Ovis aries: one gene and its partners. The protein of the gene in region 6 binds, or shares a complex with, the protein of the main gene of each other region. Links are inferred from orthologs where the notes say so. Each region holds a gene or a part of one and is shown on either strand. Other genes may lie near its edges. The genes, in order: SMARCD1, SMARCD2, SMARCC1, SMARCE1, DPF3, ACTL6B and DPF1.

Region 1 (4,096 bases), on a different chromosome or scaffold from region 6:
ACTGCGTTCACACTGGCCTGCCTGTGAACAGCTAAAAATAGAGAGCCAGAGAGTATAAGGGAATGGCAGGTGAGCGTCTCCAAGGAGCTTCTGGGGTGGGAAGTTGGAAGCTATCACCTGGCAGCTGATGTTCCCCATGAAAAAACAAAGAGCCAGGCACAGAAATCAATCCCACATAAACTGCGAGCTGTTTCCAATAGGAGCTGGGAAGATGGAGAGGCCACAGCAGAAATCAAGGACCTCAAGGACTCAGGGAAGAGAGCATGGCCCAAATGTTAAGTGCAAATTCACTTGGTTTACAAGAAAAAAAATAACTGAAAAATCTGCAGATACTGCCAAATCCAATGGCTAGCAGCATCAGGAGAGAGGTAAACAACAAATCAAATCCCAGCACAATAAGGTTCTCGATGTGATACCACAGAGAGGGCCAAGCTGTGGGAGCCAGACACAAAGAACCATTGTCTGTTAGTGCAGAGAACACAGTGACCCTCTCCCTGCTGTTCCCAACAGGAGCTGTAAGCACCAGTCAGGCTTCCTGCCAACCAGACAATACTGCTTGTTCCCAGAAGCTCCCACCCCGGACACCGACCACGGTGGACCTTGAACTCACATCCTCCAGGAGCCGTCCTTCTACCCGAAGTTCCCAGGAAGCCACCGTCCCTTCCCCATCCTCAGCATCTGACTTAGCCGGATTGAAAGTGTTAGAAATGAAAATTCGCAGCTTCCGTTTTTGCTGAGGAAGGCAGAAACAGGATTGACAGTGGGGCCTCAGTGGTTTGATGTTGAAGACAAGGGTCCCCCCAAACCCGACAATGACTCCTAACAGACTGGCTTACTGTCTACCCAGTCCCTGGGGTGGCTGGATGCAGATTCCAATGAGAAGAGGAGCACAGGCCACGGGCCTCAGTGCAAATGCATTCACCGGGATGCCAAGTAGACAGTCATGCAAGATGCCAGGTTCCCAAGGTGGCAGAGCAGTTACGGCAAAAACACCAACAGGGTATATTTCTGGTGCAAGAACTATCAAAAGCCCCTTCCCCTTTGCTGTTCTGTTCTTACGCTTCTCAGTTTGTAGGCAGAAGAGATGTAATTTAAATGCCAAGGAAAGCTGTGCTATGCCTTTGATTTCTCATCCTAAGCCTGCTGAAGGTTCCCGAGTCCTCTCCTTTGGCTCTCTGCCTAGTACTCTCTTGTGTTACCTTGATGGGACGTTTCAAGGCCTCCTGGATATCTAGCCGTTTCCTCATGATAGTCTGGTCCAGTTTCCTTTCAAAAGCCAAGAGATCCATATAGGCCTGGGATTCTGGTACCAGTTCACGAATCTTAGGGAACAGAAAGATATCATTGGGATCTAAGGCTGACCATCTCTACTCTCCAACTCACCACAACCTCAAGAAGGTCTATACCCTGGACTCACCCTTTGAGGTAGAATTTTGTCAGCCATCTTCTTTTTTTTTGCACTGTTTGGAATAAATACTGTTATCAGGTTGGGATGGAACTAGCCAGAACATGAAGACAGGCTGTCAGCACCTCCATTTATAGTAAAGTGAAGAAACTGCAAAGCTTGTCTCAAATCAAAGACACCCCCGCCCCTAACAAACACGAAGCAATTATTTCAAGAATGAGTACCGCCTGCTGACACGGCACTGCGCTTCTCTGCTCAGGCACCCCAGCACCTGCGTCCTCTCAGGCCTCCTCCCTCCCTCCCTCCACCCTGGGATCATCTTACTTGTGGTTCCGATTTTGGACCGCCTGCTGCTGGACCTGCTGGATCTGCTGAGGCGCAGGTCTCTTGCGGGACTGGTCCATCCCTGACTGGGCCAGGCCAGGTCGGACTGAAGGGTTCCCCCCATAGCCAGGGGGTCCCATGGAAGGTCCCTGAGGTGTCATTCGGCTGCCTGGTAGCATACCTGGTCTCTACAGAGGGGAGAGGACCTAGAGATGTCATGGCTTCCCCTGCAAATCCCACCAAGAAAGGGAAAGTGGGGGAGGCCTGAGTTCTTTGAATGAAACAAGGCAGGAAGGTGGGGTGGAGCACAATGGTGGGGTGGGAGGAGAGCCCTCTACCTCTCTGATATCCAAGTAATTGGAACTTCCACTGCTCCAGCTCTGACTCCACGGGAGAATATAGGCCCAAAGCAAAGACAGCCAGACTATACTCAAATCGCCCCCCTCCCCCGGTCTATTTTGTATCTGGCACACTGGACATCTCTTCTAGTCCCATATTTACTCAGAGAGTACTGTCAGGCACTATCTCCTCAGAAGCTGACCTCAATTTGCCAGCTACACCTTCTGTGTTCCTGGGCACTGGACCTGCCTAGTCCATTTGCACTCAAGGTCTCACAGGCCCACGTCTGGCCTCACTTCGTCCACCCTGGTTTTACATCCTGACTCCCCAAGAAAACAATGCCTCTAGGAGCAGGTGGGGATGCTAACAGCCTCCCTTCCCTTCCCCGCAGCGTCTCCCCCGACCCCAACTCGGCGCCCGAATCCCTCCCAGGCGCGTCCCTCCTCCTCCTCCCCCCACCCCTGTCACTCCCAGGCCCCCGCTCGGCCCCGCCCCCGGCCCGCGCCCCTCCTCCTGCCCCACTCACCGGATAGGCCGCTCCAGGCATCGGGGAGCGGTATAGCCCTTGACCCGGCGCCGGGCCCATTCGCACCGGAGGCCCCGGTGTCCCGCCCGGGCCCAGGGCAGCCGCCGCACCCGCCCCTCCTGAGGCGCCGGCGCCGCCGCTCGGAGCCACAGACTGGAAACCCGCCCGGGCCGCCATCTTTCCCGGAGCCGCTGCTGCAGCTGCACAAAGAACCGGAACCGGAACTCCCCCCGCCCCCCCCCCGCGCGCCCCCCGTGCGCCCTCCTGTCCGCCCGGCCGGCCCGCCGGCACGGGAGGCTCAGGGCAGCGAGACTGTGGGCTAGAGGGGAGCAACTAGCGGAAAAGGCGTGTGACCACTCCCTCCAGCTTTCATGATCCGGGAGGGAAAACCATCGAGAAGAGCTCTGGGACAGAGAGGCCATGCGAAAGGGCGCCCCCAGGCCGACGGAGGGAGACAAGGACCTGGAAAGGGGGACTACTGCACCATCCCTGCGCGAGGGTGATGGAGTAAATGCTTCATCTTGGCGCAGTGCGTTTTTCCTTTCCTTCTCTTCCTGCTCTAAGCCCAGCACACTGAAGAGAACGCACTGTTTATTCCATTTTACAAGCAGGCGAGGTGAACTCAGTAAATGACTTGGTGAAGTCAACCAAGTTAGTAGTAAAGTCGAAACCTATAATGCAGATCTTCCGGTTCATAGTCCGGGGCTCATTCCATAAAGTGCCTCAATAACTACAGGAACTTCAGCCCAGCTTTCCCCCTGACTTTTAACCTAAACTGCTACCAGATTTTAAGTTTATTTCGAAGTGTGACCCTTCCTCCTCGCCAAAGAATCCTTTCTGCTAGGACTTCTTTTGGGGATCTTTGTTGCCTTTGACCTCTTCCTCTTTCCCTGCCCAGTGGTTCAAACCATTCCTGGTGTGATGTCAGCCTGTCCCATCCCAGGAGGACCAGAGCACCCCTGCTCCCGCCTCCTTACTCCTCCCCTGATTGTGTGGCCCCAAGCCAAGCTCAGCTCTAGACACTTAGTGGGAAGGCCTAAATACTATTCAAATAAGAGAAGAACGACACTGAAGAGGAGATGGTTAAAACCCAGTTTATTAGACCAGAGGCATGCGTCACCCATAGCCCTGCCTGCTGTTCCCCATCCACTGCACACCCTTTGGCCTTGCTCCTGCTTCCCTCTGGAGAGGTTTGATCTCTAAGGAACTCCTGGGAACCAAGAGTTGCCAAAGATCCTATGGCCTCACTCTCCAGCTCCAGGCCAATGCACAGATGACCTGCCACAGGTCTTGTTCTGGGGTTGGAGGCTGAGAGGCAGCTGGACAGAGAAGGCCTGGGAAGGGGCAGGGCTCTGGCCTGGGAGGAGTGCCTGATGGAAGGGGCATGGCAGGTCCTCTATCTCGCTGGTTTCTCAGTAAGGGAGGAAAGGAGGAACAGAATAGCAGAGCTTTCAACGTCCCCTCTAGGCCTGTCTCTTTCGTTCCACTATCAAACGGTACCT
Region 2 (3,373 bases), on a different chromosome or scaffold from region 6:
CCCGGGGGATCAACCTGAGAAAAATTGCTGAGCTCATGCCGGGAGCGTCAGGGGCTGAAGTGAAGGTAACAGGAGTGCCCAAGGGAAAGGGGGCAGAGGCAGGAAGCACTGGGTTCAGGGCACAGCGGCATCTCCCCCTTCTTTCCCTGCTCAGGGCGTGTGCACCGAGGCTGGCATGTATGCACTGCGGGAGCGCCGAGTGCACGTCACGCAGGAGGACTTCGAGATGGCAGTAGCTAAGGTACAGGGCCACGCCTTTCTGCCTTTGCTGGTGGTGACTCGAGCAGTGGGGTCGGGCACGTGTTCACTGGGTCTCTAACTCAAATGTTCTCTCTCCAGGTCATGCAAAAGGACAGTGAGAAAAACATGTCCATCAAGAAACTATGGAAGTGAGGCAGACGTCCTTTGTGTGGATCCCTCAAATAAAGCTCTACCGGTCAGGACCTTGAGGACTCGAGTCTGTTAATCAGCAGCTGCACTGTTCAATCACCAGGTCTAGGTACCACCAATAAACAAAGATTTATTTGGAAATTTCCAAACCTGCCAGAAGTGGCGTTTGCCAAGCCCTCGGCCCACCCTCCTTAACAGGCTCCAAAGAGCAACAATAGTCCTCCCCATCTCCCACTGCCCTCCACCGAGCACACACACACCCACGCCTCAGGCCACGCCAGAGAATTAGGGTGCCCTCTCCCTAGGAGGCGTTACCCTGGGCCCAAGAACTGGGGTGACAGCCCTCTGGCATCGCAGGAGATGATGGCGGCCAGAGCCGCTTGCATAGATTGAGAAAAGAAAATAAGGGACCCCCCAAGTAGGGCTCCCTGAAAACCCCCAACACACCCCCATAAAAAAAGTGGCTCCCGCATAGAAAATCCTGCTCCACAAATAGTGCAAATAACCCGAAGGAAAGGAAATTACCAGCAGCAAGGCTGGGCTGGTAGGAATGGCAAAGAACTTTGGTTTGGAAAGGCTAGGAAGAAAGGGAGCCATGCTCCTCTTCCTCACCCCGCTCCCTGGAGCCAGCGTGGACACTCGCCCCAAGGGGGTCTGTAAACAAGCAAAGCCAGGGGCCTCTGGTTCCAAAAGGTCTCGGTTAAAATGTCAAAGCAGAGCCTCCAGGTCCTTCTCAGGCCTGCCTGCAGGGGGCACAGGAGGCCTCTCGTGAACCCAGTTAAAGCCAATGTGTAAGTAAGAAGGCTTTGGAGGACCAAGCAACAAGGAATCCTATCACTACACTTAAGAAACTAAAGCCGGGGAGCCGAGGGTAACTGGAGATGCCCCTCACCCCCTCGTTATCCTACGTGTCTGCGCCCCAGAGGGTGGTCCCCTTCCAGGCTGAGGGCGTGGCTCCAGGCTGGGAAGAAAGGAAGGGGTCCCTGAGCAGTTAGGTCAGGCGGATTCCCAGCACCTGTTCCAGTTCCTGCCTTCGCTGCTGCACCTGGAGCAGGGACAGACCAGCGGCTCAGGCCCGGCTGCCCACCCTGCCCTCCGGTATGCCCTCCAGGCCAGCCAGGGCAGAGCCGCCTCACCTTGGCAAAGATGTGCCTCCCTACTGCTTCCTGGGCCCAGGGCTGGTGGTAGAAAGCTGCTCGTCTCTCCTCCTCCGGGTTCCCAGTCACATCAGTGATGATCTGTAGAGCACCAGGAGCAGAGCTGAACGCAATTCCCACCCCTGAGCCAGAAGAACGGTGCTGGGGACAGAACCCCCAGAGCTTAACGTGGGATCACCCTCAGGAAAAAGGGGCACACCTTGAGGTCCCGGCGCTGGGAACGGAGCCACTCCTGGATGAAGTCCTGGGGGTCAGTGCTAAAACTGAGCATGAAATCCCTCTGGGTCTTCAGCTGGTTGATGGACTCAATAGTCTCGTGGATCTGGGCAAAGGGGTACGTGTCAGACTGGCTCCCACCCCGACAAGGTCTGCTTCCAGCCCCAACCCGAAAGGACTCAGGTCCCATCCCAAGGTGCTATATAAATGGAAATGCCCGACACCTGCCCATGCTCACTGGGGGCCCAGAGGAGGTTGGGGCCCACCTTGACATCAAGGGAGGCGATCTCCTGCTGATTGGTGGTAGAGGCCAGAAAATTGCTCATCTGGGCCTTGAGCGGGTCATCCACCTCCACGTCAATGTCGTAACAGGCTGTCTTCTTCTGGTCGTTAGGGTCCACGCTACACGGCACACGGGAGAGAGCTACTTCCCTCCCGCCCGCCCGGGGCAAGACCACACACACCCAGGGAGCAAGAAACCAAACGTGCTGCTTTGCTTTGGCTTTAATTGAAGTCAAAGGCAAACCCCTGAGAGCAGCGTTCCTCCCCCTTCCCGTTTACCTGATGACGTGGTTGATGACAATCGGGTCTGGATGCTGCAGCAACCCTGCCAGCTTCATGGGAATCTCAGAGAAACGTAGTCGGCCACAGCTGAAGATCTGGGGAGGGCGCCAGAGGGTCGGTGACGCCCTGGTGGGCACATGGGGAAGTGGCCCGTCCCGGGGCGGTGTGGCGCCACAGGCAAGGCGGGCGGGGGCTGGAAGGGGAGGGGGCGGTGTGCCCGCTTACCTGGCGGAAGTAGCGGTTGCAGTTGATGTACTCGCGCTCGTGGCCGTCCTGCAGCTGGTTGTGTTTGATGTAGAGCCACAGGGCCTGCATGATGGCAGCCCTCGTCTGCGTGTGCACCCCCAGCAGCCTCGCCAGGCGGGGGTCCAGCTTGTACTGTGGGGGCTGGCATGGACAGACGGGAGTCAGAGGAGGGAAAAAAAAACCCAAAGCAGGCTAGGGCAGGGACAGGAAGGGTTTCCAATGGGCACCTGCCCCCGCCCCAGATGACAGTCCCCGTGAGCCCAGACGTGGCCTCAGGGCACTCGTCACCTGATGATCCAGCATGAGCAGGAGGGTGCACTTGACGTTCAGGTCTCCAGGCCGTTTCACCTGGAAGCCGTCTGTCTCCTGGGTGGTGGGCATCCGGTGCCACTGGCAGGAGGAAGGGGAGTCAAGCTCATCACCAAAGGGGCGGGCAACATACGCACCTGGCCCTGCAAGGGGACTGAGGCCATTCCTCTGCCCGCCGGGCACGGCACCCTGTGGTCCCAAGCCCCAGGCCCGCTCTCACCTCTACCAGGTGGTTGTCTGGCCCATACAGTTCCTTGTCCAGCTCGATGACGAGGCTCTTAAAGAAGGAAGAAAACTTCCGCTTCTGTTTACTAGGCTGGGGATGTAAAGGGGGTGAGACAGGGGTGCCATTGAAGGTTCAAGCCTAAGCCACATACTAAGCCCCGAACAGAGGAATATTGTTTCAGTCCTAAAGCTCAGGGTACTGAGGATTCTCAGGCCCTGAAAGAAGCAGGGAAAAGTGAGACCTGAGGCACAGAAAGGGTCCCTAG
Region 3 (3,500 bases), on a different chromosome or scaffold from region 6:
ACCTTAGTACTCTGACTCTCCCTCCACAGGTCAGATACCAGGCCCAGGTTCCATGATGCCTGGGCAGCCCATGCCAGGCCGCATGATGCCCACCGTTGCAGCCAGCATCCACCCCCCTGGGAGTGGCCCCACCCCTCCTGGTATGCCTCCAATCCCAGGAAACATCTTAGGACCCCGGGTACCCCTCACGGCACCTAACGGCATGTGTAAGTACCCAGGTGGGGGGAGGCACTACCCTCGGGACTTTTGGGGAGAGCTGTACACAAGGGAGGCAAGCACCGTTTGTTCCCTCTGGGGTGTGACAGATCCCTGGACAGGATGGCCTGTGAGGGGCGCTTCTGAAACCTGGGCTTTGGTCATTGCGCTTCAGCATCCCTGGTGGACAGGTACCCAGGTGGTGAGCACAGAGTGCTCCCAGTTAGTCAGGAGCCTTCCATAGCCTTCGTGGATGCATTCGTGACACCAAGGGCTCTGGCAAGGCCAAGGGCACACCTCACCCATGCCTGTTTGAGGCTATCTAATTTGAATCTGAGTCGATACACAGAACTACTGGTAGTTATTTTCTGTACAGGAGCCTTTTATGGATTCAGGATTTAAAAGAGGTAAGTGTAAAGAAAAGAATAGAGTCTGGTTTAGGGCAAGAATAATAATAAGTTTTTGTCCAATATATTGGTAGTGGCTGCTTAGACTTAGAAAAGAGTATTCAGGGCTGTGTTGAGAAGGAGTTTGAAGTCTTAGCGGGCTCCATCGAGCGGGCACATATGCTGATGAACAGTGTCTGTGGCAGTGTGCAAAACCAGCTCGGTTTTGCCATGGAACCCTTGTTCTGCTCCAACCCTGGCCTCCAAAGGGGTGCATCAGAGCCTGGCCTGCCCTCTTACCCTGTGGACCATGGTAATGATTCCAAAATGCAGCTGACAGTGGCCATGTACCCCGCCACATCTGTGATCCCAGGTCCTTTTAGAGGAGGACCTGGGTTCTCATGAGGTGGAGTCAGCCCCTGTTTGTTTATAGTAATACAGCTTATAATAAAATGATAATGTATTTATAATACAAAAACATAAAGTAATAATAATGAATTTATAATACAATACAGAGAGCTAGGATGCAGAGGTATTCCTGGCCTCCAGGAGCTTTAGTTGGGAAAATAAAACATGAACAAATGGATAGTAGTGTAGGATTTACCGTAAGTTACACAAGGCTATTGAGTGGCTTGAGCTCACTATAGTTCTCTGGGAGACTTCCTAGGGCCAGGAGACAAGTGCCATCAACACAGGTGCATCTCCTTTCTCATTGGACTCCTAGGAACAAGGACAGATTTAGGTGCACAGAAGAAAGACAGCACTTGAGCCAGGTCAGTACAGGATCATTGTTGAGAAACGAGGGACTTCCTTGGTGGTCCAGTGGCTAATACTGCGCTCCCAGTGCACGGGGCCCGGGTTTGATCCCTGGTCAGGGAACTAGATCCCACATGCTGCAACTAATGATCCTGCATGCAACTAATGCATGATCCTGCAGCTAATGATCCGGTACAACCAAATAAATAAAAAAAACTTTTTTTTTTAAGCGATCTTTGTTGTTACATCAAGGATCAGAGATCATAGTCTAGTGCGTACCTCTTTTCCTAGCCTTGCTGCCCCACAGGCAGTGTAAAAATGTGCTGGCTGACTGGGAGGGTTGACCACGCTGCCATCCCCGTTGCAAACATAATATCATTGGTCTTTACCACTGTCCTGTCCTGCTGATAACACCTGATTTGTATACATGATTCCATCCTGAAGGGCCCTCAGTGCAGTACCTTGAGGGTGTGGAATGTTTGGGGTGCTCCCCATCACTTCCTGCCCCAGATGAATTTCAGGGATCCTGAGCTGCTGATTTGGCTTCAGGGCATTGGGCAGGCCTCATCAGGCAAGTCACTTCCCTCTTCAGGCCTTACTTTGCTCCCCTGAAAGGTGACACTAGGGAGTAAATCGGTGGGCTTCAAAACGCTTTGAAGAGCCTTAGCAATTGGGTGGACACCTCCTGAGGGGAAGGTTGGATGAATTAGCTGGTAAGCAAGGAGGTGCTTTAATTGTTTAATTCGTTTTCATCCCTGGCAAAATCTTGAAGTTTTTAAAACCCTGGATTGAAGTATCTCTATGGTTGCTTTGTACACTAAAGCAGTCAAAGTAGAAATAGGAAAGAGCTCCTTTCCTAATTGTTCCCTTCAGGACCTGACCTAGTTTTGGCCAAAAATTTAAAGACTACAGTTCAGGAGTTGCGGGGCCTCTCCAGGCTATCCAGCTTGTTGGCCGCTGCCTCAAGTCAATCTCTGTGACCCTGGTGGAGACAGTTCATAAAAGCCAGCAGTTTCTGATAGGCAGTTTCGTCCCCAGCTAGGCTAGGCACTCTGAGAGAACGCAAAGAAGACACAGAACTTGTCCAGGAAGGAGCTTATCATTTAACTGAAGAGAGAGAATTAGCAGTGAGAACCATTAAGATAATGATAAAATCAAAATATAATTAAGTTCTGCAAAGGTCTGGAGGGATTGAGAGTGGGGCGGACTCAGACACCTCCGCACCCCCGAGCCGCGTGGGTCAGGGGAGCCACACAGGTGGTGACGTGGAGGTTCAGGTGGACCGCCCCATGTAGCCCTCAGCAGCAGCCGTGCCTCACAGGCCATAAAGAAACTTCCTTTATAAGTCCTGTTTCTCTGCATGGGCTCTTGCCCAGGCCCCTTGTGTTTCCGGCAATGACAAGTTCCTTTTGGATGTGTTTGCAGATCCCCCTCCGCCGCAGCAGCAGCCACCACCTCCAGCACCTGCGGACGGAGGCCCTCCACCTCCCGCTCCTGGCCCACCAGCCTCAGCTGCACCGTAGCCCGAAAGACACAGGGGACGTCCGCGCCCAGTGCCCCCAGCTGGAGTGGGGATGACAAGACTTGTGTTCCTCCGCTTCCTTGGGTTTCTTTCAGGAGTTTTCTTCTCACAGCCCCAAGCACGCACCCTGACTTTTCCCCATTCCTCTTGCCACCCCTCTCCGTGCTCTGACACCTGCTGTGTTAGTCCTCCTCCAGCACTCAAGGGGAAGCCACTGCTGCCAGTGTGCCCTGGTCGCCCTGAAATACCTGGCGTCTCCCTGACCCGCTGTGGGGTATGCTGACAGTGTGTCTGCAGGTCCTGTCAACGTTAGTGGTCTATGTCTGTATCATTTTTTGCTCTCCTGCAGTTTTGTTCTGTTTTTGCTTTGTCTTATGCTTATATGGATAATGCTTTATAATCATTATCACTTTTCTTTTTTTTTCCTTTTGGTCATTATTGCTTTAAAGGAGAGCATCCTAAGTTAATAGGAACCAAAAAATATTGATGGGCAGAGGGGATAGCCAGAGGGGACAAACCTTAAGGCATTGTAAGTGACCTTATTTCTGCTTATCTGAGCTAAGAATGGTGCTGATGGTGAAGTTTCATGAGACTTTTGCCACACATGGACGCACCAAAATTTAAAGAGATGGGGAAAAGTG
Region 4 (4,231 bases), on a different chromosome or scaffold from region 6:
CTCTAATCATGAACATGAAAATATTGGAGGTGGAAGAACTGGACAGAGGGTCACTTGTCCCTGGCTTTGCATACTTCTGGAGATACCCTAGTCCCTGCTGGCACACCCAGGATGGTGGCTAAGGGTAGCTGAAGAATCAAGTCATTCTAAACGTCAACACCATTCTCAAGTGATTTCAGATCCTTCCCCTCTCTGCAGTGGCGCACGTCGGTCAAGTGTTTATGTATCCAAGGAGAGGCTGCTATCTAGTACATCAACGTGGTCATGATTTAGTGAAAAGAGTCCTGGACTAGACCATAGCCTGCCTCAATATAGATTTACTGAGCTTCTTACAATGGTTCAAGGCCTTACTGGGCACTGGCTATAGGAAGATGACCAATGCAGACCGCTGAATTTTTGCTTTCAAGGCTCTCATAGAGTACTGAGAATAACAAACACAGTCTGATACAATGTATTAGGTAAAGGCCATAATTGTTAATTTGGGAGGAGGAGGGGCGCGTGAGGCAGGGAGTTCCCGGAGGGCATCAGGGACAGAATTTGAGCTGGATCCGGAAGGACAGATGAGTTTAAACCCAAAAGTGAAGGACTGTCGTTCCTGGCAGAGGAAACCGAATGAGCCAAGGCGCTTTAGGACACAGACCCCTTGCCCAGCGCTGCAGGGACACACAACCGGGGGCAAGGAGATTTACATCTCCGGGCCTTGGCTCAGAAACCTGTGACAATTACACCAGCCTTGCGCTTGGGAACAGCTGGGAAGATCTGCGCTGCTTTCGCCAAAGCTCTTGCCCGCGGTTAAGGCAGGAAGCCCTGGGAGGCGCGCAGGAGGACGGAAACTGTAAACCCGGCTCTCCACGCCTCCATCCTCGGCTTGGTGAAGTATATACACTCCAGCTCCCAGAGAAAGAGTCAAGAAAAAGACCGGAAGGGAAAAAAAACCCAGAAACTCTCGGGGGCAGGGACGGGGGGCGTGCGCGGCCTGAGCCCGGCCGGGGTGGTGCGCGGGCCGCGCGGCCACAGAGGTTCCGGGGCTGGCGACCGGGCGCGCTCCCCGCCGCCTTCCGGCCCCGCGCGGGGAAGCTGAGGCCGCGCTCGCGCCCCCCCTCGGCTCAGCCTCGCGCCTCCCGCCGCGCCTCCCGTCCCCGCTCCGGCTCGCTGGGGGCCGCGCGGCCGGGCCTACCCGCGGCCGGGCCACCTCCTCCCTCTCCGGAGTGACGAATCGGCGCCCGGCTGGCAAAGTACTGACTTTCGGGGAGTTTTGAGGAGCGTATGGAGCCTGAAAAAAATCCTTGACTGTGCTAAACACCACCGCGTCCCCACGAGAACGCTTATTTTCCTGAAGAGAGTCGGGTGGGGCCTGGAAAGGAATTAAGAAGAGTGTTGAAAGTGCGAGCGCGGAAGCTCGGGACGCGAGGGGCGGGGCGTGCGCGGGACAAAGGGAAGCGAGGCCGGAGCTGCGGGCGCTTCTTCTGCCCGCGGGTGAGTGTTTCCGACTGGGCCCGGCTGGGTCGGGAGGGTGGAGAGGCGTGGGGTCCCGGCTTGGCTGGGGTTGCTGAGGGTTGCTGGGGTTCAGGCTTGGCCGCGGGACCAGGGCCGGGGGCCGGCTGCGGCCTCTTTGAGGCCTAGCGGAGCGAGGGTGGGGAGAGAGTCCCATCTGGGGCTCCTCTTGGGCGGCCAGAAGTGCCCCTTCCACTAACCCCACGGAAGTGGTCAAGGCGCTTCTGCATGCTCCTCTTCAGTAGAGTAGCTGGTAAAGTGCACCTACACATCAAACCAAACCGAATCGGTCTCAGAGGAAGCCCTTGGGGCAAGCTAAGCCCGTGGTCCTCACCCCCAGGAAGATGGTTTCCCCTTGCCCAGGCAGCGATCTGAGGACTCACGGTGTGGCTTGGAGTGAAAAGCGAAAGCTGGGCAACAGTTTGGCCTGGGTTTGAAACCCAGCTCTGACACTTCCTGACTCTGTGTCTTGAGCCAAGTTACTTATACTGAACGAGACTCCTTTTTTCCCTCTGTAAAATGGCAATAGCAGTACACACCTCGTTGGTAGTGTGACTGTTAAACCAGATGGTGTGAAAGTAGTAAGCCTGTCCCGTATAAGGTATTCAACAAATAACTTCTCCAGGATTTTATGCCAGGCACCGGAGATGCATACAGTGGTGGACAATTGTACGAGATCACTCTTGAAATTTATGGTATAGCAAAAGAGACCAGTAATTTTAGAGTGTTAATAAAATGTGACACACCTGGGAGCTTGTGGCAGATATTATCAGGGCCCCCCACAGCAAGGCCTACTGGATGTTGACAGCCCACCCAAGCTTGAGCAGGAAGGAAATCTGCATTAGACTCTGGTGTCCTGCATGTACCTTAAGGAGAGAGGGAGACCCAGGTTGGGCCATTGAGAAAATAAATGATTTCTTTCTTTCCACACCAGGCCTCTTACTCATAATGCTCCAGAAATGCCCTTAAAATACAAAACAGGAGCAAAAAAAAAATCATGTTTGTTTCTCATAATGTCGGATGAAAATACTCTAGTAGTCATAGAAGTTATTTGCCTTTTTTGTGAAAATGAATGTTCATCTCTTTGTACACATGGTGTGTAATGTATAGTGAGGTAAGGAACAAGTTCACGTGTGTGTGGTCATGTCCTGAGCTAGTGTTACTAGGACTGAAGTTGGTAAAAATTGAGCTAGGTACTGGGACAGCAATAATGAACTAGCTGGTCCCTGTCTCCATTCAGCCCCCATATTAGCAGGTGTAATATGATATTGATCTGTGTAAATTGGAGTACAAATGAGGAAACATTTAATTTTGTACAGATAGGTCCAGAAGTCTCCATTGAGGAGATATATTTTGAGTTGAGCTAAGAAAGATCAATAAGAGTTTTTTCCAGTAGACTCTCGAAATTTATTCCCAGCGGTTATGAAGCTGTTTACCATCATGTTGTTTTTTAGTGGCTCAGTTGTGTCTGACTCTTGCGACCCCATGGACTATAGGGTACCAGGCTCCTCTCTCCATGGGATTCCCCAAGGGAGAATACTGGAGTGGGTTCCCATTTCCTTCTCCAGGAGATCTTCCCAACCCCGGGATTGAACTCAAGTCTTCTGCGTTGGCAGGCGGGTTCTTTTACCGCTGAGCCACCAGGGAAGCTCCATTACTCCTATAAGAGAATGTGAAGTTTCTTGTCACACCAGTTACCTTTTCCACTGCCTTCAGGAGTAAAATGCTGTTTTACTAGAAAGAAGTTGTTATCCTAAAAGGAAGGCAGAGCTGTGGCTGGTCATGGAGCTGTCAGTGTCTGGTAGGCCTTGTTGAGGTAGGCCCCAATAATACATCATATTCTTTTGTCATTGTATTTTTACCGATTTGATTAAATGTTTACATGGCATCAGCGAAACGTTTTCCATACAAGAGGTGGCTCAGTATCAAAAAAAAACAAAAACTTGCAAGTACATGTCTAATTTTACTTTTTAATATCCCCTGTCATTTGTTTTAGTCATTTAATTCTGATCAACTGAGTGACCTAAAGAACTAGTAAAATATTTAAAAGGCTTGATTACTAGAAGATAATGTAATTTTACAAAGAAATATCAAACTACCCTATTCTTTAGAAAAACATTCTCTTATGCTTGCTGAGTTTTGATTATCTTTATTTTTCTTTTTTTTTCCTTTTTTTTATTTTAGTGTCTCAGATTCATTCTTAAGGAACTGAGAACTTAATCTTCCAAAATGTCAAGTAAGTTTCATTTTTTATATTTATCAATCTATATTAATAAGAGACTAATGCCCTAGCAAATGGGAATTCCAAAATACTCTCATTTTTTTTTCTTCAAAACAGGACCATTGGTAGTTTTGTTGCATAGTATTATATCTCAGTTGTTTACAAGAAGTTATTTATTTTCTTTCAAACAGAAAGACCATCTTATGCCCCACCTCCCACCCCAGCTCCTGCAACAGTAAGTTTTAATTTTCTTGTTAATGTAATAGCCAAGTCTGGCCTTGATACAAAAACCCAGATGTCTTCCAGTGACAGTCACTCAATCATTACAGCAACAGGATGAAAAATTCAGCTAAAAAACAGCACTTCCTACTAAATAAAATAACTCTGCATCTTACCTTGAACCAACCCCAACATTTAAAGAAACATACTACTGAAATGCCAACCTCCTATGCTCAGTTCTTTTTTTAATTAGAAATAAGTGGCAAGTTTAACACTTTTCTTGTTCATCTCTATTAA
Region 5 (3,500 bases), on a different chromosome or scaffold from region 6:
ATATTATGGAATTATTGATTTCTTAAATCTATGTTAATATTTTGGTTATTTTTGTTAAAAAGTAAATCCTTATATGTTTTCAAATTGTAAAAAATATATTCACTATCTTTTAAAAAGTAGTCCTTATCTTTTTGAGATATGTATGGAATAGTGTCAGGTGAAATGATATTATGACTAGGATTATAATTTCATGCAAAAGAGGTGGCAACATTTACAAGATTGGACATGTACTGATCATTGTTGAAGCTGATGATGGGGTACACAAGTCTCATTATTTTCTCTATCTTTGTATATGTTTGAAATTTTCCATAAAAAGGTGTTTTTTTTAAATTTTGCATTCATTATGCTTAATATTTAGACCAAATGAGATGACACATTCCAGAATGTGGTGTAAAAAGCCAAGCACATCCCAACAGTAAGCGATGGGCACCACTGTCTACCACCGACCCCTTGAGGGCTGGAGGCCAGCAAGGCAGTCTCTGGCCATTACCCCCTGCACCTGTTTCTAAAGACACAAAGAGTAGCCAAGGTCATTGTAGCACAAGGGTCCCAAGGGTCCTCAAGGCAAAAGTCAAGGGGGGAAGGGTCCTGATGCATATTTTCCCCAGGAGTCCAGGGATGAGAATCCCACCTTCCTCTCCATCCTCAAAGGACTCCCAGCTCCTTGGATTTCTCCTCCCACTTGGGAAGCCCACACTCACATCATTCTCCGAGGTCCCACAGAGGATGCAGGACTTGCATTCTATGCACTGCCACTTGTAGGTCTTGACAGCCTCGGTCATGTTCAGGGTGAACTGCAGGCAGGTGGGGTGACCTGGAGGAGGCAGAAATGGCAGCATTAAGGCCAGAGGGTCTGACCTGTCACCCCCTCGACACAACGCTATGCCTCACTTGGAGGGAGGGTGGGGTAGCATGTGTTAGGAAGCAAACTGGGGGCCTGGATGGGGCCCTACCCGCCCTCTTCACCACCACCCACAGTTACAGCAGATCAATGCCCAAAGAGAGGCATGAGGATTAACCCTTTGCTGGGGAGAGATGTCATCCAAGTCCTCTGTCCTAAGAGCCACGTCCCCTCAGAAGTGTAACCAGTTGATGAGGACAGAAAGTGGTGATCAGAGAGAATGAGAAAGGAAGTCACACAGCACAAGGCGACGCGATGAGAGTCAGCAACAGCATCTCCCCAGCATCAGCGGTGGTGGGAGCAACATAAGAGCTATTTAGAGTTGATCCTTCTGATCTGCAAAGTTGTTCATGCTGCCTCAGGGCACAGGGGAAGAGACCAGAGAGAGCGTGTGAGGCTCCCAGGGACAGAGCTCAGGGGCACTGGAAGGCTCTGCACTGCCACCTAAAGTGTCCCTCCGTGCCCAAGACCAGGGGACCAGCAGAAGTCCACACCCTGCACAGGAACAGGAGGGAGGCTGGAGAAGTAGAGCATCATTGCAAGGATGTCCAGGTCTGTCCTGAGCTCTTCTCTTCATCCCAAATATCATGTTAGCCAAGCCAATAGCAAGAGCAGGGAGGGACATTAATGTGACCTTACAGCACCCAGCCCCAGTGGTCCAACACCAGAGGCCTGGCCTGCAGGGCTGGGCTCTACCCTCAGTTACAGCTCACCCAAAAGACAGAGGCCAGCAGCGAGAGAACAGCTGTGAGCCACAGAATGTGACGCCTTTGACCTTCTGTCTGACAGGGACGGGAAACTTGGACGAGGTCCCCAGGTCACTCAGGGCTATGAGTCAGAAGGCAGAGCACTCAGGGTGAAGCCTGTTACTGACACCGTCACCAAAGAATGGACAGTTTTGCCTGTTGCTGAGGGTTCACCCTTCTCCAGGGCTTCCAACTCCACCAAATCCACCATATCATGCACTGCTTGGCCTCTATCACATGAGGGATTGTGAGCTTCCAAAGGAGAAGAGTATAGATGGGCCTCCAATTAGAGGCAGTTCTACCAACCCAGTGTCCTCCACAAAGAGTCAAGATCCACATGGTACCACCACTCCTTGGCAAAGTCACAACTCAGCAGGAGGCCCCCATTTCCTCTTTTCCATATCCTTGCAAAGCTGGTTCCATCATGGTCCTTTGGGGGACATTCTGTCCATTCAGTCAACAGACAAACCCTTCAGATCTGGGGCCCCAGCAATGCACACCACACCGAGCTATCTCTGAGAGTGAGAGTGGGGACTCATGTTGAGGGGAGCTGGGGACACTTTGCAAACAGCAGGTGGGAGCATTGAGGACAGGAGGAGACTAAAAGCTTTTCTAGGACTTCTCAGAGGCCATCCAAGGTAGAAACCCCCATGGCCCTGAACCGATAACTTTCTCAAAGCAACACCATACCAGTGACCCAAGGGAGAGAGAGAGATCTTACATTAAAAGCTTGGATGAACATCCAGCTGATATTCCTGATGGCATCTCAAATATCTAAGGATGCTGGCCAGAGTTGTTCCCTACCCTGCTCTCTCACACAGAGTAGTGGGATGGGAATAGGAGAGAATACACCAGCTTGAGATTCTGAGTGGTCTGCGCCAGAGATGCCCATGTTCTTAGGCAGGACACCCAGGAACTTTGATGATTAATTCATGGAGCAGATACCTAGATTAGCAGGTTGTCGTTGCCCAGTTTCACAGCCCCAGTGTACACCCAGCCACACCCAGCCAGCTTATAGTAACTGTTCATGAACAAGGATTTATTGGACATCTGCTAGAGCAGTCATGGTCCCAGACAGAAAAGATACACTGGTGAGCAAGACCACACACACCCCTACCTCCAGATCCCTCTAGTCTGGTCAGAGAGAACTCAAATTAATAAACTACACACATACCTATTTACTTACAGCTGTGTGATAAGTACCATGAAGGAAAATCATAATTGGCAATGAAAAATCACAGGAGGTTAGTATCTAGTCTGAGATGTCAAGGAAACCTTCTCTGAGAAAGATCTTGGAGTTGACACCTGGCAGATGAGGAGATTAGCTGGATGGGTGAGGGAGAGGATTCCGTGTGTGGAGGATGGTGCATGGAGGGGCAAGGCACTGAGCCGTGGAGGAAGTGGGCAAACTCAAAGGAAGGTAAAAGCCAGTAGGCAGAGGCTCGCAAGCAAAGCAGGAGGGGAGGTGGGTGAGAAGCACCCAGAGACGAGCTAGAGTCAGACTACCCGGGCACGTTATGCCCCTCATTAAGGATATGGGGCTTTAAAATCATTAAAGCCTTGTGGGCAAGGCAGTGACTAGATTACTCTGTGCATTTTTCTAATAGGTTTTTCATTTTTTAAAAAATTTTATTGGCGTATTGCTGTTTTACAGGGTTGTGTTAGTTTTTGCTGTACAGCAAAGTGAATCAGCTATACGTTTACATATATCCCCTTTTTTGGTTTTAAAAGAGCATTCTTTCCGCAAGAGGGAAACTTTGGATGGTGAAGCAGTTCTGAACCTTGATTGCAGTGGTAGTTATGTATGTGCTAAGATTGCATAGAACAATACATATACGTGCATAAACACGTGT
Region 6 (3,500 bases):
CCAAAGAGGCCAAACTTTTTTTTTTTTTCTTAAAACATGTTTACTCCCTTTAACCCAGAAACTTCACAATCAAGAGGACAAGTGGGGAGGAGAACAAAAGGGGGCCGATGGGAACGTTAGGAGGGTGGCTGTCGATCCTGCGCTTGCAGAGCCGAGGTGGGGGAAACCGTCTTCTTCCGTTCGCTTTCCCTCCCCCACCGCTGCGGGCCGGCCTGTGGGTGGGGAGGGGGCGCCCTCAGGGGCACTTCCGCTCCACGCACTGTTTCCCGCCCTCCTCATATTCCTGCTTGGAGATCCACATTTGCTGGAAAGTGCCCTGGGTGGGTGGGGCGGGAGGGCGGTCAGGGAGGCCAGGAGGGAGGGAGAGCAGGTTCCCTATGCTCCACCCGTGGAGGTTCGGAATCTTCCCCCTCCCAAGCCCACATCCCCCCACCCCCCCGCAACCACCAACTTGCCCCATCTCCCTGTCCCCTCCTTCGTATTCAGAAGGCGGATACCCGCTTCATACCGTTCAATCAACGATGCATTCACTGAGTATTTACTGAGCACCTGTCAGTTCGGAGCCCAGGGCGGTTCGAGCTGGGAGGTGGACCTTCCAGCCGCAGGCCAGCGAACCTGCGCTGCAACACTCCATATCCCCTCTCCACCAGATACCCCGTCACTCCATCAGGCCTTACATGCCAAGTCTCCCTCCTTCCCAAGAAAAATCTTTCCTCCACCCTCCTCACCATTCTGACACCACCTAACATCAAGGTGGGGATGATGTCTTTATTTTGGCACCCCACCCCACCCCCCCACCCCCTGTTGAAATAGGGTCCGCCAGCCCTGGCACTTTAGACTGTGCCATCTCTATGATCACTTGCGTCTGCCTGAAAGTCAGTGTGTGTGTCCCTGTTTCTGGACACACCTTCCTGGACCATGTCACCTCTCCCTTGACTTCTGCTTACTGTGCCAAAGCCCCACCCTTCCCATCATCTCCAGTTTCCAATGCAGAGCTCCCTGCCGAGTTCCCGACCCAAATTCTCAACTGTCTTTCAGACAGCTTCCTGGTCCTCAGTGTCTCCTGGAACCTCACTCAGTCAACATATCCATGACTGCTGTCACCATCTTCGCCCAGCCCTGCCTCAAACCTGCTTCTTTGGTCTTTCTCGCCTTCTACAGTTGCCCTGTCCAAATCCAGTGGCCCCTTGCCACGTGGAACACTTGAAATGGAGCTATCGAGCACGTGAAATGCAGCTAATCCAAGATGAAATGTGCTCTCGGTGTCAAATCTGCACTGGATATTGAAAATAAATCCAGAGGATGTGAAACGTCTCACATTTTATACTAATTGACGTACTGATAGTACTTTGAATAAGTAAGTGTGTTAGGCGCTCTATCATGTCCGACTCTTTGCAAACCCATGGACTGCAGCCCACCAGGCTCCTCTGTCCATGAGATTGTCCAGGCAAGGATACTGGAGTGGGGCGCCATTTCCTTCTCCAGGGGATCTTCCCAACCCAGGGACCGAATCCGGGTCTCCTGCACTGCAGGCAGATTCTTTACCTGGGTCTCATCCTTGACCCCTTTCCTTCTTACCTCTCGTATCCAAACGGTGCCCACATTCTCAGTCAGACCTCTGATAAGCTCCCAACCCTCTCTCCCCTACATCCACTCTGCTGGCGACCCCGGGTCACAGTGGAGACCGCGGTAGCCCTCTCCAGCCCACTCTCTGCTCTGTAGCCCAGCTTGTGTGCTTAGTCGCTGAGTCGTGTCTGACTCTGTGTGACTCCATGGACTGTAGCCTTCCAGGCTCCCCTGTCCACGGGGATTCTCCAGACAAGAATACTTGAATGGGTTGCCACGCTCTCCACCAGGGGATCTTACCAACACAGGGATCAAACCTAGGTCTCCCGCATTGCAGGCAGATTCTTTGCCATCTGTGCCACCAGGGAAGCCCAGGTGAGCTTCCTCAACTCTGGCCCCACAGCACCTACCCCCTGCCTGTGGCCTTGCCTGGCTCTCCCCTGGGGCCACACACGCTCTCCTGCTTTGCCTCCTGAGTTCTCACTCTTCCATCTCAGCCTGAAGGTTCCTTAGAGGCCCCTCCTGATGCCTGAATGAGATCAGGTCTTCCTTTGAAGGAACACCCCACACTTTGTGGTGACCTCCTCTTTGACTGTCTTGGCTTCCAGACTGTCCCCATGCACGAAGGCAGGGATGAGGTCGGGCTGTCTGTCCAGGCGTGCAGGAGGCTTGCCACGACTGTGCAACTGACACTTTCGCAACCCTGAGCTATCTTCGGGGGGTCAGTCTTCTGTCACTCTGACCCTTGCTTCTGTCCCTTTGGGGGCACCGCCTCTAGCTGATATCATCCTTGTCCTGTCATGACCCTGCTGTCCCCCTCTGTGTAGCTGACACTCATCAGATGCAGTCTGCATCTTTACCTCTCTGCTCAACGTCTTGCCCCTGCCCCAGCAGCTGCTCCAGACTGAATTCCCCACCTACCACCACAGAACCACCCTGACTGCTGCCTTCGGTTTGTCCCTTGCTCACCACCCTATGCCCACTGCTACCCATCCCGTGACTCTAGGACAATAGAAAGAGCCTCCCGCCAAGGTCCCCTTGAATTCAGCTCATACCCCCATCCCCAAAGTCTCATGTCGGACATAACCTTCCCAGTCATGCCTGTGGCCATCAGATCCCCTTGCCCCAAACCTCTAGGGGCTCACCCTGGCACACAGACTACCACAATCTCATCCTAGCCAACCTGTCCAGCTTCCTGTCCTCCACTCCCTGCTTTGTGTCCTGAGATCGCATTCACCTTTCTGGGAGCACTGACTGCCCTTTCATAAACAATGAGCGAATGAGGTGGTAGGCAAGGTGGTGGGGCGGTCTGGATCTACCCCACATTCAGCACTAGGCCAGGGCCCTCCTCTCTCACCAGTGAGGCCAGGATGGAGCCCCCAATCCAGGGGCTGAACTTGCGCTCCATGGTGCTGTTGCTGGCGATGAGCTTCAGCCTCATGCTCTGGGAAGAAAGAAGGGCTAGGGGAAGCAGACACCTGGTTCTGGGAAGTGGGAAGGGACAGGGCTCGGAGTGGCGAGGCCATAGCGGGAAGGAGCCGCTTTGGTGGCCAGAATACTGGCTCAATGTGTGGGAAGGAGGAAGGACTTGGTGCTGAGGGGCTGGCCCAGGGCCCTGGCCGAGGGTGGGCTCCTACCGGTGGAGTCTTCTGGGAAAGCTCTCGATTGAGCCTGTCAGTGAAGCCCTGCAGGAGCGTGTTCCCACCGGTGACAATGACACTGCCGTAGAGGCCCTGAGAGCAGGGAGGAAGAGTGAGCGATCAGGGCACAGCCCCGCCCTGGCACCCACGCCCCCACTTCTCCTGGACCCCTCCACCCAGAGGCAGGCTTGGGCCTCACCGGACGAATGTCAATGTCGCACATGCCGATGCTGGTGGTCACCACGTGGCCCACCCCTAACATGGTGTTCCCCGACAGGCCCTGTGGAGAAAGGT
Region 7 (3,500 bases), on a different chromosome or scaffold from region 6:
GGGCACCGAGAGGGGGTGAGGGGTGGACACCACATCCCCCCCCCCCACCGGCCCAGGGCACAAGGAGGGGATGGTGCCCGTCTTGGGTGGGGAGGTGGGACAGCTGCAACTCCAGGGGCTGGGGGGAGGGGCCGCCAGGCAGGACGCTGGCTAGACTGGTGCCCAGTAGATGCGCTCAGCAGTGCCCCCTCCACCCAGCCAGACCTTATAGGACTCTTTGTTATATATTAATTTCTTTCTTTTTTTTTTTTTAAGTTTTTGACTTTTTCTTTAGAAAAAGGCTTTGTCCATGCCCCCAGCCGGCATCCACCACCCCTCGTGCCCACCTAGAGGCGGGGTATGGCTTTGAGGGGAGCAGAAGGCCCTGGTACCCATTTGCCAAGGGGGTGAGGAAGGAGGGAGGAAGGGAGAGGACCCTGCTGGGCCCACCAACCCACAGGGCAAACATTCCACTTGCACAGAGGGGAGGGGGTGGCCCAGCCCCCTCCCTGGCTCCCCCCACCCCTCCCACTGTGGGGCATTAAGGATGGGGAGAGAGTGGAGGAGCTCTGAGAGGAGAGGCAGGTAGGCAGGCATCACCCCAGAGGTCCGGGCGAGCCAGAGCCAGGCCTAGGTGAGGGTGATGTAGGCAGACGCCTTCTCTTTCAGGTGCCGAAGACAGAGGTGACAACTCCAGCTCCCTGTGGGGCGGGCAGAGGACAGGGAGTTGGGTCAGGTTTGGGCAGGGCTGCCCCCACCCCCACCCCCATGTCAGACCCTCCTCTCTCTCACCTTCCGGGGGCTCTGCCATGGGAGGACTCAGGCAGTACATGTGGTAACCCCGATCGCAGTCGTCACAAAACAGCAGCTGGTCCTGGGGGGTGAGACCCGCCCAGCTGGCACCCTGGGGGCACGGGCACCAGAAACCGGGGTGGGGGGCGGGGGCAGGGGCCAGGTCAAAGGGGCTGGTGGAGGTGTCTTCTTGCAAGACACAAAGGGCTCTGAGAAGGTCATCTTTGCAAAACCCTGCTGGGCCACACGAAACGCCCTTGAGGACCATCAGTTTGTGGTTTGTAGTTTGGGTTTTATAGGATTCTGTGGGACACTGAGATGGTCTGGAAGCCATGGGTTCAGGTCCCAGCAGAACCACGTCCCTAGCTGGGTGACCTCGGGCAAGTGTATTCCCCTCTCTGAGCGCGGTGTCTTCTCTGTGAAGTGGGAACAAGAGCACCTACCTCAGGGCGGTTGGGAGCACTCAGAGAGTGAAGAGTGTTAAGTGCCGGGTTCAATTAATGGCCACTAACAATAATAATAATACAGGTTAACTGGTGTTCACGAGGGAGGGCGCTCCAGGGAAAGGCTTAGGCCCAGCTGGCGGAGGGGGCGGTGCCAGGCGGGGAGGCTGCGCGGGCAGGTCCCGGGGAGGAGCGGACGGGTACTCACGTCGTTTTCCGAGGTGCCGCACAGGCTGCAGGACTTGCACTCGATGCATTGCCAGCGGTAGGTGCGCACGGCTGCCGTCATGTTCACCGTGAACTGTAAACACGAGGGGTGTCCTGGGGGCCGAGGGGCAGGGATGCGGTTAGGGGCTGTGGCGCCCCTGGTGGCTGCTGACCCTGGGGAAGCCCCTGGGGGCTCAGCCCCCACCCCCTGGCTCACAAGGCCTGACCCCGCCCAGCCCACGGTGCCCCGCGCCCGTTCTGCAGGCAGCGCCGCCCTGGCCACCAGTCTCCTACCCGGCCACCATGGCAACCACACTCTGCTCCCCAGAACACCATGGCAACCGCATTCCATTACCCAGGGTGCTGTGGCAACCACTTTCTACCACCCACAACACCGGGGCAGCCACGTTCTGTGAACCGCTGTGCTGAGACAGCCACATTCCATTAGCCACAGCAGAGTGGCCAACCCGTTCCCTTAACCGCAGAACGTGGCAACCACAGTCTCCCAGCCACGATGCCATGGCAACCGCCTTCCACAGAGGGGTCCCCACACCCTGGTTCCCTGCAGCCCAAGGCCATTACACACAACGCCACAGCAACCACAACGTTACCAACGTGACTGTGGAGCGTGTCAACCTTCTGGTTGTCCCACCACCCGAGCGCAGACCCACAGCCACGACCCCAGGCCACCAGGACACCCAATCGCCATGACAACCGTATTTCACTACCCTTAATACCATGACAACCACAATTCATTAGCCACCGTGCTGAGCAACCACAGTCTCTTACCCACAAGTCCACCTTGGGAAACCACATTCTATTAACCACAACTCCACGGCAAGCGCCCTCTGTTGTCCACAGCATCCAGGCAGTGGCAATCCGTTACTCGCTATCACAGCCCACTACCCCCTGGTGTTTTGGCAGCCATCTTTCACTGTTCCGCATGCCAGACAGGCACCTGCCGGTGCCCACAATGTCATGACAACCGCGTTCCATTGTTCCCAGAGCCTCCCTGACCCCACTGAGCTCCCCACAGTCCTCAGCAGTTGAGTCAGCTCTGCATCCACCAGGATGCTCTGCATCCCCCCAATTCTCTCTCCTCTGCTTCCTGCCCTCCAGATCTGGAGTCTCTCCACCCCAGCCCCCAGAAGCCTCAGGTGGGGGGCATCACCTGATCGCCCACAGTCAGCACAGGAGATGAGGTCCTCAGGACACCCTGTCTTCTTGGAGCCCCCCAGGCAGAAGTCGCAGTAGCCGTTAGGGATGACAGTGCCGTCAGGCGCCTTCTTGGCTGAAAGACAGCAGGCAGGGGTTGGCGGGGGCAGGAAGGGACCCTCAGTCCAAGGCTGCTACAGAAGTAGGGGCAGAGGGAGGCGTCCCTACCTGTGTGTTTCCTCTGTGACTCAGGGACCCAGGCCAATTCTTTGTAAAACTCTGGGGGTAGGGGGACAGAGAGAGGGGCTCTCACCACAGGCAAGGCTCCACCCTGCCCACGGCCTCGGCCCCAGGGGTGGACCCCTTGTCCAGGCATGGAGGAGGTGAGGAGAGGGAGCCGCTACCCTAAGCTGCATCCAGCAGCAAAAGAGAGTTGCAGGGAGCCCAGGTAATTCTCATCAGGACCTTGCAACTCTCTGAAAACGACTGACAGGTCCTCTTTACTAGGTAAAAACTTGGCAGGTACAAGCCCCCTGCTTCCCCTGCCCGTACGCACTTCTGCCAGACAGCCACCCCCAACGAAGCCCCAACTAAATGAAAATTAGGTAGAGGCCACTGGCCACGATCTGGTATGGAAACAGACACTCAGAAGGAAAATTCTGAACACAGAGGTGCCTGGGTGTGTAGTAGGGGTGGGATGAAGAGACTGCTCTCTCCCACCGAGGAATGGGTGGGAGGATGGTTCCTCCACTGGCAGAGCCTCTCCCCAAGCCTTCCCCCGTCCCTCAGCTGTCAAGGTTGGCACTGGATTGGCATGGGCGGATGCCAAGGGTTCCCAGGCCACGGCCCCTGCCCCTTGGCCGAAGCTCAGCAGAGAAGGGAGGAAGGGAGGCAGGGAGGGAGGGAGTCATCTATCACCCCCCT

Evidence for each region.
Region 1: ACTL6B (region 6) and SMARCD1 share a complex: the UniProt entries of both Homo sapiens proteins name them as parts of the BAF complex. The link is inferred for Ovis aries from reciprocal best matches to the Homo sapiens genes ACTL6B and SMARCD1.
Region 2: ACTL6B (region 6) and SMARCD2 share a complex: the UniProt entries of both Homo sapiens proteins name them as parts of the BAF complex. The link is inferred for Ovis aries from reciprocal best matches to the Homo sapiens genes ACTL6B and SMARCD2.
Region 3: ACTL6B (region 6) and SMARCC1 share a complex: the UniProt entries of both Homo sapiens proteins name them as parts of the BAF complex. The link is inferred for Ovis aries from reciprocal best matches to the Homo sapiens genes ACTL6B and SMARCC1.
Region 4: ACTL6B (region 6) and SMARCE1 share a complex: the UniProt entries of both Homo sapiens proteins name them as parts of the BAF complex. The link is inferred for Ovis aries from reciprocal best matches to the Homo sapiens genes ACTL6B and SMARCE1.
Region 5: ACTL6B (region 6) and DPF3 share a complex: the UniProt entries of both Homo sapiens proteins name them as parts of the BAF complex. The link is inferred for Ovis aries from reciprocal best matches to the Homo sapiens genes ACTL6B and DPF3.
Region 7: ACTL6B (region 6) and DPF1 share a complex: the UniProt entries of both Homo sapiens proteins name them as parts of the neuron-specific chromatin remodeling complex. The link is inferred for Ovis aries from reciprocal best matches to the Homo sapiens genes ACTL6B and DPF1.

The regions. Positions count from the first base shown.
Region 1 is NC_056056.1:136,225,193-136,229,288, forward strand, and holds the start of SMARCD1 (SWI/SNF-related matrix-associated actin-dependent regulator of chromatin subfamily D member 1), read right to left. Parts: upstream 2,801-4,096; 5' UTR 2,772-2,800; coding exon 2,595-2,771; intron 1,918-2,594; coding exon 1,730-1,917; intron 1,477-1,729; coding exon of another isoform or gene 1,461-1,476; coding exon 1,418-1,460; intron 1,323-1,417; coding exon 1,200-1,322; intron 734-1,199; coding exon 611-733; intron 1-610. UniProt on the Homo sapiens protein: Involved in transcriptional activation and repression of select genes by chromatin remodeling (alteration of DNA-nucleosome topology).
Region 2 is NC_056064.1:47,807,701-47,811,073, forward strand, and holds the end of SMARCD2 (SWI/SNF-related matrix-associated actin-dependent regulator of chromatin subfamily D member 2), read right to left. Parts: intron 3,199-3,373; coding exon 3,103-3,198; intron 2,964-3,102; coding exon 2,862-2,963; intron 2,715-2,861; coding exon 2,553-2,714; intron 2,423-2,552; coding exon 2,325-2,422; intron 2,166-2,324; coding exon 2,030-2,165; intron 1,870-2,029; coding exon 1,747-1,869; intron 1,629-1,746; coding exon 1,527-1,628; intron 1,436-1,526; coding exon 1,382-1,435; 3' UTR 501-1,381; downstream 1-500. Other genes in the region: PSMC5 (26S proteasome regulatory subunit 8), read left to right, coding at 1-65, 155-241, 340-393. UniProt on the Homo sapiens protein: Involved in transcriptional activation and repression of select genes by chromatin remodeling (alteration of DNA-nucleosome topology).
Region 3 is NC_056072.1:52,090,186-52,093,685, forward strand, and holds part of SMARCC1 (SWI/SNF complex subunit SMARCC1), read left to right. Parts: intron 1-29; coding exon 30-206; intron 207-2,762; coding exon 2,763-2,860; 3' UTR 2,861-3,500. UniProt on the Homo sapiens protein: Involved in transcriptional activation and repression of select genes by chromatin remodeling (alteration of DNA-nucleosome topology).
Region 4 is NC_056064.1:40,602,566-40,606,796, reverse strand, and holds the start of SMARCE1 (SWI/SNF-related matrix-associated actin-dependent regulator of chromatin subfamily E member 1), read left to right. Parts: upstream 1-1,431; 5' UTR 1,432-1,476; intron 1,477-3,678; 5' UTR 3,679-3,723; coding exon 3,724-3,730; intron 3,731-3,906; coding exon 3,907-3,950; intron 3,951-4,231. UniProt on the Homo sapiens protein: Involved in transcriptional activation and repression of select genes by chromatin remodeling (alteration of DNA-nucleosome topology).
Region 5 is NC_056060.1:82,222,667-82,226,166, forward strand, and holds part of DPF3 (zinc finger protein DPF3), read right to left. Parts: intron 815-3,500; coding exon 531-814; 3' UTR 1-530. UniProt on the Homo sapiens protein: Belongs to the neuron-specific chromatin remodeling complex (nBAF complex).
Region 6 is NC_056077.1:36,361,508-36,365,007, reverse strand, and holds the end of ACTL6B (actin-like protein 6B), read right to left. Parts: intron 3,487-3,500; coding exon 3,406-3,486; intron 3,300-3,405; coding exon 3,204-3,299; intron 3,011-3,203; coding exon 2,924-3,010; intron 1,311-2,923; exon of another isoform or gene 1,039-1,310; intron 317-1,038; coding exon of another isoform or gene 236-316; exon of another isoform or gene 213-235; coding exon 117-212; 3' UTR 103-116; downstream 1-102. UniProt on the Homo sapiens protein: Involved in transcriptional activation and repression of select genes by chromatin remodeling (alteration of DNA-nucleosome topology).
Region 7 is NC_056067.1:47,406,009-47,409,508, forward strand, and holds part of DPF1 (zinc finger protein neuro-d4), read right to left. Parts: intron 2,856-3,500; coding exon 2,805-2,855; intron 2,713-2,804; coding exon 2,593-2,712; intron 1,536-2,592; coding exon 1,423-1,535; intron 884-1,422; coding exon 772-883; intron 681-771; coding exon 610-680; 3' UTR 1-609. UniProt on the Homo sapiens protein: May have an important role in developing neurons by participating in regulation of cell survival, possibly as a neurospecific transcription factor. Belongs to the neuron-specific chromatin remodeling complex (nBAF complex).